2 linked regions of the Drosophila melanogaster genome follow. Changing the gene in region 2 together with the main gene of any one other region gives a genetic interaction. Each region holds a gene or a part of one and is shown on either strand. Other genes may lie near its edges.

Region 1 (4,982 bases), on a different chromosome or scaffold from region 2:
AATGTAGCATACAGATATGAATCTTTTGAAGTATTAGTTAGCAATTACTTAATTGCTATAGTATGGTGTATAATTGCTATAGTATGTATAACACCATTTGCAGATTATCCATGAATTATTTTCATATTATCTACCAATAGATAAGCTCTATTTATTGATTCTACCGATCAGAATCGAATAAAAATACGTAGCAGCTTCTCATAATATTTTTGTTTTTTTCGCTGTTATCTACATTCTCATTTTGTGTTCGCTAATTTAGCTTAAATTATGTCGATTCATTATTTTGGCTGAATTAGTTTTGGCCAAATAAAACCTGTTGGCCGAAATGCGTACAGCAATTTGCATGACTCACCTCCACATTTTCCACATCGAAGTAGCTGAAAGTTCGCTTGGTCAACTCAAACCATCGATGTTTGTAATTCACGGGGGTGAAACGCTTCTTGTTTTGAGCCCTTTTCACCATCGATCCACTTTTCACGACATCGTACAGCCTTTCGGACATCAGATCCATTTTTGCTTGAAAGGATTTGCTGCTCGATCGCAGCGATGATGATGACTTAATGCTGCCATTGACATGCGAGTTTCGATGCTTAGTGCCCATCATCTTGACAAGAAAAAGTGTCTGAAAAGCAAAGAAACATATTAGCTAACCAAAAGTTAATGTTAATATTTACACGCATGCCAAAACGTTTTTAACCCTTCGAAATAAGACATATTTGTATTAACCCAAGGGTTTTTGTCTGTGCTTTGATTATAGCCATGCATACGTATGAACAGACAATATTTAATCATACATTTATTTATCCCATTGGCAAAATAAAGATTTTTAAATAGTTTAATGGCCATTTAGTGGGACGTCAGAATGGATGTCGCATTGGCAAACAGAGGGTTAAAATTAGAAGCGCTCGCCCAAAAAGATTGGTTACAACACACTCTGCAGAGGCAAGGCCATAAATCTATTTTGGGGGGCGTGGGCGTGGGCGTGCGAATCTTTTTTGCAGCGCCCCTCGAGGCATTGACCGTGGAACATGGGGCCACCAAAACATTGGAGCACTGGGAGTTACCTGGTTGACTAATTGCCGTGGGCGTTCCGCTTGGCATCAATCAGTATGGGATGGCGAAAAGTGGATGAAAATAAAGTTATTCATTTACAGATACTGTATACTGCCTATTAATGGAGAAGTGTGGAGCCAAGGAAGGGAAAATCCAGTGGACAGACGAGTCGGTCAGCAAATCGAACGATTAAACGAACAATTAATTAGCCCCCGAGCAGACAGGAGATACATATAGGTTGGTATACACTAGTAAAGATCACTTGCTGACCTTGAAGTCGCGCACAGCGGATTAAAGGATTAGCCCCCAAAGCGGCATATTCCCCATTTCCTTGCCACCTTGTCCCCACAACTTCCATTTCGCAAAACGAGAAGCGTGTACGCAAACAAACGGGCCGTTGAAAAGGTGGCTCCAAGCGGAGGAGCAGCCACCACACGATCTCTGGCATTATCACACTTCAACAAAAGCTAACAAGACGCAGGAAGACTCCAGGAGCGAAGTGCTCTGAATTCGGGAATGGTTGAGTTATTGATTTATTTAAACATCTTACTAAGGATGATTTTAAAAAGAGTTTGTTTAATAAAAAAAAGTTTTAGTTTTCTTTACTCTGACGATATGATTTTCTTTATCTGATTCACAAATCCGCTTCTGATCATCAAGGAACATGAACGGACGCGTCTGCAAAAAAGGGAAACAAAGCTAAGGCGACAAATGCTCGTGCGACAACAACAATTGGCTGGATCTCCTGATCAACTCTTCCTCCTCACCGTCTCCTGACGCCCCCCACCCCCCACGCGCTTTAATCAAGCAGAGCCGCTACAAAAACAGGAGCGGAGTGCGGGGGCATGGGCGAACGGAGCGTAAAAAGAGAGGGCGAGAGAATCAGAATCTTCAGCGCAACGCGCATGGCCATAAGTAATAAAATAAACACGGACCGAGGCACAGAAAGGAAAAAAAGGATGGCAAAAAGGCAGAAGGCGCAATGTGTACATAAATCTTTTTGGTGGAGCGAGAGGCCCAAAGACCTGGGCTATAAGCACATCAATATACATACATATAGTATATATGTATATATACATATAGCGGGCGTGGCCTGGCAACTCGTTTTTGACTTTGAATTTCGCCACGCAAATGGTCGCGCTTAGTTTGTATTCTTCTTTGCATTTAATTTTTGTTTATTGTCGCGCTTTTTCTAGTGGAAGAGGAAGACTGGAGAATCTGCGACCTTAGCAAGAATTTCAGTCTAATTTGAAATCAATTTTTGAGTTACTTTATATTCCAAAAAGATTGATTTTTAATTTAAAATAAGTTAAGCAACTATGTAAACGATATTTTTTTAGCAGTACTTCTATTTGTTATTATTACAACAACAAAAAATTTCGTGTAATTAGTTTCTATTGTGACTTTAAGCTAAAGTCGCCATAAGCTGATTAATAAAATCAGCACAGCATAATTATTTATATTAACTTTGATTTGTTTTTTTTTGCGTTGCACGATGCCTTAAAATGAAATGCATTCAGAAAATGCAAAAGCAAGGGCGTCTGATTAGAATGCGTCGAGCACAGAGTTCGCCTTTCTTATCAGAATACAATAGTTTCAAGCGCAGCTTGCTGGGCAATTGAATAAATGCTGATAAGACAAAGAACAAAAGAAGTATGTATGTAATTCGATAGCGATAAAAAGGGGACGGAAAGGAGGAATAAAATTGATAACTGTGCCAGTTCACCAGCTTACCACAAGTGCCGTTGATTGAGCAATTTGAAGCAATGACCCGACCGCATAGCAACAACAATAACAGCAAGTACAACAACAACACCAGCAGCGCACACCACTAACAAATCACAATTCTCCAATTGGAGGGGGCAGACGCAACGGGTAACGCAACAATAACAAAACACTTTCGTTTGCGCGGCGACGAGAGTAAATACGAAATATCAACCGACCGGCTTGTTCAGCATTTGCATACTGCGAAAAAATCTTTATAAACAATATATAACGCAGGCACAGCTGAGACGCTCACACAGACGAGCAGACACCCGCACACACCTGCACGCAATTTTGGAGAGCGGGAGAGGAGCAACAGGCGCAACGTAGGATTCCTGGAATTCCTTACTTAGCGGCGCCCATGGCAGTTGCACTCGCGATCCTACGCTTTAACTAGAATCTTTTCCGTTTATTCACGTGGCAGCTGTATCTATGTTTGATTGGTTTGTTTACACTAATTAACTGTAATTAAATAGTAACGATTTAATACGAAACTAAACGCGCCGCCGCAACTTCTTTGCAGTGTGACCGCACTTCGAGTGGGGAGATACACCGATATGAAAATAACTACTCTTAAAATACCAGAAGAATACAAAATACCACACATACTGCCTTTTATTTTATTTTCCCGCGTATTTCAATATTTCAAAAAAATAACTAGTGATTTTAATTATTTCTTCGTTCCAAAATTAAACAAGCAATGTGACGAAACTTTATATATTTAAAGCGCAATATACTAAAGGAAGACGACTTGGTATAGTTACTTTTTTTAGATTACTAACAATTTAGAACCATTGCCGCGCAATTTTATTCAAATCAATTATTTTTTATTTGAAAAAATACTGTACTTAAGTACTTAACTAGCTAGAATTCGTTACACTTTATCAGGCCTACAAAAATAGAGTTTAGAGTTAAAAGAGTTTTGGTAATGCACGACAGCGGAGTAAGTTCGACACAAAATGCTAGTTAATATTGGGAATGAGATGCCCTCCAAGTCCACATCACTTTTCCTTCTTCTGTATGGAGGCAATCCGCCAGGCGCCCACCAAATATCGCACCCAGATCATGAACAAATCCCTGCCCATTTGCAGCCACGACCAAAATGGTGTCAGTTTCGAACCATCGATCTCCGTCCATCGAACGGCAACCTCGGACATTGGTAGCTTCAAATTCTCAGCGAGGTACAGCAGCTCAACATCAAAGGCCCAGCGCTCCACATGCAGACTGGTGAAGAGTTTCCTGGCCGTCGTTCGGGTGAACAGCTTGAAGCCACACTGGGTATCGCGAATGGAGCGCACGGCAAACAGCCAGACGAGGAAATGAAAGCCGTGCATCAAAATTGTTCTGTGGCAACGCAGATCAGTATTTGGTCAGCTAATAAATGTAGGATTTTATCTTACCTGAAGAAACTCCTTGTTGCAATCGCATCGTTCTCCAGATGTGCTCTCGATCCAATGGCAATGCCATCGTCTCGCCATTCGGGAGCTAATTGCTTGAGGGCCACCTCCAGTTTATCGTAGTCGGGAAACTTGGTGGCTCCATCCGCATCAGCGAAGAGCAGATTACGACCCCGTGCACTTAGCATACCCATGCGAACGGCACCTCCTTTCCCACGATTTTCGATGAGTTCCAGCACGCGTACCTTTTCTGCTCCGTGCTTTTTCGAGTAACCCAAGGCGACGGATACGGTGGCATCCTGACTGCCGTCACTGACCACGATGACCTCGTATGTGAAATTGGGAGTGCCAGCAGATTTCTGTTCCAGAAAGGCCAAGCACTCGTCCAGCATAGAAGGCACTAAACGAGTATAAACACACACAAATGAGAACAAGAAAATCGAATAGCTTTTGGGGAAAGTAACTTAAAGTAACATGTTAGTGTAATGAAGTTTCTGTAGATAAATTCGGGTGCCAGACAATCAATCACAAATGGGCATAGATAAAATGTTGACTGTGATTCACCAAAACAAAAACAAATAAGCAACATACAGCGCTGCTCCTCATTGTAAGCTGGTACGATGACACTGAGCTCCAAACTTGGCGAGTCCTCGAGACTGGGAAAAGTCACTGTTTTAATGGTGTGCGGGTCCAGGAAGGTCTCCTCATCCTTGTGCCGCTTGATGTTGGGATAGGGCTTCGTCTTGTAGAGCACCAGAGCCGCAATCT
Region 2 (4,951 bases):
TTTTTGATCAGAGAAAGTTGTAATTGTTTTGGAAGCGCAAACAAAATAAAAAGTAAACTCAATAATAAATAAATGAGAGCAAACTTATTCATCAAATATGAAGAGTGCTATGTAGTATTAAATGCAGTTTTTATCGGGACTGGTTATGAACTTTGTATTGTATGCACATAAATAATCTTGCGATATAAGCACAAGTTCGTATTCGCAATAAAAGATAAGCATAAAGAATATCATATACACTTTTGGGAGACACCTTTACGGTATATTTTTACATATATAGAGTAGACGTTGACTCACTTTTCGGACACGATTTTCTGATTCATAGACGCCTGGATCGAGTTCTCTAATTCGCGATACCCGTACTCTCACCTTGCTTACGTAACTGAGACCAGAGATAGCCGACTTCATTAGTCATTTATAATTTTTTATCAAATTCACCTGCACATAAAGTTTCCCTTGCTAATCTAATTATCAAATGGGGCAAGGCTACTAATTTATTTTTAAATTGCTACAAAGCTTTTCTCACTAATTTCTATCGTAAAAAAAGGCCCCTTTGTTTTTTTAATAAAGCAATTATCATCTAATCGATAAGTGACGCTTTGATGTGGATTGGTATGAGATTAGAAAGTTTGGGGCTCGAAAAACAAATCCGTAGCACGCAAATGACCATATTTTTAAGTTAACTGACGCGTGTGGAATTGTTTACAAAAAACATCTGTTAGGACACACGTTTTTGGTTAAATAGACTTTGCGACATCGACGCGGTGCCTATTCTTTGTCTATTGTTTGGCGTCATCAACTTGAAAACATCTCTTTAGATAAGAAATTTTGCACGCGCAAAATAAAAAAAAAAGAAGAACGCCAAATGCTCATTGATAAATCATTGGCAAATCGAAGGCAAAAAAACAACAAAGTCGACTTGTCGAAAGAGGAAGTCGAGCATAAAAACATTGAGAAAGAAGGCAAAAATAGGCGGAGCAAAATATTTCGCGTTTTTTTGTATAATGTAGCATGCGGTTTTTCGTAGAATTCTTAACCGGTTTCGGTACAGTTTTGTATTTGGTTTATAGAGCCGCACTAAAGATTGTTTATAGACAAAGTGAATATCTCCTACACATTTTCCCATACCTATACATATGTACTTTCGGACATTATCGACGAATCCAATCTAGTCACATGCCGTCTGTCTTCTGGGTTCGAAATCAAATTGTTGTTAATGACTTTGCGCCGCGTGTGGCGTCTCTCCCACTAAGTTTTGCATTTAAAAATAGGAATTATTGTAGGTCTACACCGGGATTTTCCTTTGTCTATGTAGGGGGTATTCTCACAATGGACGTACCATTCGATTGATCGCCCTGGATAAAGGTGTTTTTAACTTGAATAACCATTTTATACTTATATACTCATATACATAAATATATTCTCCTATTGATCACGGTTTGGAAACATTGTGTTTTTCACTATACTCATCCGATTTGAGTTTTTATTTTTACAGACTCGTATTATTTCCTGCCCATTTAAGGCTATTAGGCGAGTGTGCGACTATTTTGCGCAGTTGAATGAGCAGCATATGAATCTTGATTTATGCAAAAACTGCGACTTGCGCTTCAAGACACTTTTCAATTGTCTGGCTTACACAATAATATATAAAATACTCGAAATAGAAACAAAGGCGTGTTTGTTTTTTGTTGTTGCTGCTTTGGCTTGCGTGTGCGCTTTGGTATTTCCATTTATTAAATTTGTATGCATACCTCCTCCTCTCTCCCAAAAATGCGAAGAGATGAGCAAAGAAGAAGGGGCGAAAGATAAAGAGCAATAACCAAGTTGCACTTGAATCTCATTTAGGTACCGAGTTCAAATCCGTTGCGGGTAAAAAGAAAAAAAAAACCAGTTTACTTGGAAGTGCGTGGGATTATTTGACACCCTTTGTGATCCCTTTTTTCCTGCACTTTGTATTGTTTTCGGTTTTACAATGCATATTGAATAGTTCGTCGGAAAAGGAAACTTGCAATTTGCTTAAATGGCTCGTAAATTGATTTTCTGTGTTGGTTTTTGCTGTTGTATCGTTTTTGAAAACCAACAAAGCGTAAAAAAGGTTCACGCAATAAATGAGTAACGAAATGCAATGCAAAAACGCCTGTTTCCTATTTCCAAAATACAGTGCTCTATGTTTTTTGCTTGTAAGTTGTAAACATATTTTTGTATGAAAATCTAGGTGCACATTTATCACTTTGGTACAGTGGATACCCTCGGTCTTCACAATTCACCGAATCGGGTATGCACTGTACCAACAAAAACTGCACTGCAAAGAAGAGCAGGTGATAGAGAGAACTAGCAAGCAAACCAAAAACAAAGCAGCCTGAATATTGTTATTGTCATTAAAATACCGTTCCATTCAGTGCCAGGTACGAAAGAGAGAGGCATACAATGAGAGAGAGAGGGGGAGAAAATAGGAAGGACAGCAGGCAAATTGCCGAAGGAAAATCACCTGAATTTGGGGATCCAGCTCGCCGTCTTCTGCACTCGACATTTTTACTGGTTTTCACTGAATTCGTTCCAAATGCAAATATATCGCTAAACGCGTTAATTTTCACTTTTCTGCAGCCCGCTTTTCAATTGAAAAACGCTTTTGCATTTCACTATTTGATCTCGTTGCTACACAGACACATCCCACGACTATCAATTTGCTTGTGTGTTTTGTTTTTCTTTTTTTTTTCTGTGTTTTTTTCTATAATATTATGTAAATTGGTGTTGGCAATTTTAACTGGCAATTTGCTATGCGGGTACAGCAGCAGTATTAAAACAAATATTTCATTTTGCGTCTTATGTTTCACAACGAAGTTAAAAGCGAAAAGGGAAAGGGACACATGGCGATTACATTAAGTGTGAACAAGACGAACGGTACAAGTGGACAGGGCACGCGGCTTTTCACCTTCTCCTTCGCTCGGGGCATCTAAGATATTTAATTAACTCGCTTATAAAGGCTAAACTATCCTAAAAATTAAAGACGCGTCCAGACGCGACGAAATGAGAAGCTGAATTCGGTGTGACCGCAGCGCGGTGTTACCAGATAGTGAAATGCTGACCAGCAGTTGCTGAAATAAACATTTGGTATTTTTATTGTATTGGTATATTTCATTACAACGCTGGCATTGTTGCCAACTATTTTCAAGAAAAATAAACAATTAAAAAAATGTTTGATTTTCATTGCACCAGTTTGATAATGTAACAATTTATATTTAAAAAAATGCTAAGTTAACATATTAGTCTTCAAAATTACTCTTGGCGGGCTTGGTATTTTCTCTTACCATTACGTCATATGCCTCATCTACATAACCATCACATCACGTTACGTAGTTGATTCACTTCGTAACGTTATGAATAATTAAAAAAATTTTGTTTCAAAAAGGATTTTTGTTAAAGTTGCTAAATACGTATTAATGAAATATAAATAAATAGGTCTGACTAAGTAACAAAATATGCATTAAAACCAGAAACATTTTACTATGAAAGTTTACTTTATTTGTTATTTGTTTTCATCATTTTTGTTTTGCCCTTTATGTGCTTTACATGTTTGTGATTTTTTCGTATTTAATTTGTTTACTTTTCCTTATATGCGTTTATAAATCGAATACTCCAATTTCCTCTAATGATATGCGCACCAAACATATTTTTAACTGAGCGCAATTAACAGAAAACCGAAAATACTCTCAAAAAACAAAATTTTCACTAAAAGATTTTTATTTATGTAAATTATAAAGAAGAAGGCAATTCAGTTGTATACCACGGAATTTCATACGTTATTCAGCATCAATGCCCGATTAAACATAATTTATAAAGATGGATTCGTTTCCTTCTTTTATTTTTGATTTCTTAATTTAACGCTAATATAAGATTTATATTTTATATAATGCATCTTTTTACTTTGTATGGAATAACACTTAATTATACATTCATTTCATATAGTTTGATTTTAGTTGTAATCATAACAAAAAGAAACATTTCTGTGCAGCGTGATTTGAAAAAAATGAACAAAGAACTAAGGTACAAAATTCTAGAATAATACAATTTGAAATTGTCTGAATGGGATCTTTAAATAGTAGTTCTTGCCTGACTTTCATTGTGTTTGTTTAAGAGTGTGCCGTGTGGTTTATTTGTTGATTCCTCCTCTGTCGTATAGTATCAAACCACTAAATACTTGTCCATATAAATGATTTCGTTTAAATATTTATTTATATATCGAATTATATATATTTTATGCTATATAATAACTATGCAAGTTCTGCATATATGCATGTTGCGCTTCATTTACCATTCTTTTACTTGGTTATTTTCATTTTGTATTGTTAACACTCATAGTTTCGGGAATGGGAGGAGAGTTTAGGAAAAGTACAAAAGTATACATGGTTTGTCCAAAGCTTTTCAGTTGTAGTTGCTTTTTACTACACAGTGTGCATATCGAAATGATACAGAATACGATCCAATATAAATGCTTCTCCACACGCAATTGGAATAAGAAATACAAAAACAAATTGAACTTAACTAAGTTGAAGTACATAAAACATTACAAGATACACCACAACTTCTAAATTCAGCTACACTACGATTTGTTGTTTGATTGGAGATTTATTCACTGTCTATGTTTAGGCCCACTCGCTTCTCCTCCTCCAGCATGGCGTCCAGCTCGTCCGTGAGATTGGCCAGCATATTGCCAATGTCGTTCAGAACGTTCACCGAAACTTTGGGCGGAACGCCGTTGTTTATGGCCACAGTTGGTACGGCTGCTTCTGGCGAACTTGCAGGCTCCGCCGTTGATCCACCGGCATTTGACATATCCAATGTGGGTGAACGCAGGTGCAAGGCACTTCCACCGCTGGCTGTGCTGCCCATGCTTTCACTCCGCGCCAATGTGGCATCGTGCAGCGAACTGGAAGATTTCAACGAATGGAAC

Evidence for each region. A genetic interaction does not mean that the proteins touch.
Region 1: of pcs (region 2) and Btk, changing one suppresses a phenotype caused by changing the other (phenotypic suppression), as found in Drosophila melanogaster (4 studies listed by BioGRID).

Annotation. Positions count from the first base shown.
Region 1 is NT_033779.5:8,297,719-8,302,700, forward strand, and holds the start of Btk (bruton tyrosine kinase), read right to left. Parts: upstream 3,029-4,982; 5' UTR 2,788-3,028; intron 623-2,787; 5' UTR 605-622; coding exon 353-604; intron 1-352. Other genes in the region: wol (wollknaeuel), read right to left, coding at 3,819-4,161, 4,218-4,614, 4,806-4,980. UniProt on the Drosophila melanogaster protein: Required for proper ring canal development. Also required for the development of male genitalia and for adult survival.
Region 2 is NT_033778.4:14,979,361-14,984,311, reverse strand, and holds the start of pcs (parcas), read right to left. Parts: upstream 3,050-4,951; 5' UTR 2,531-3,049; coding exon 2,489-2,530; intron 1-2,488. Other genes in the region: ckn (caskin), read right to left, coding at 4,627-4,951.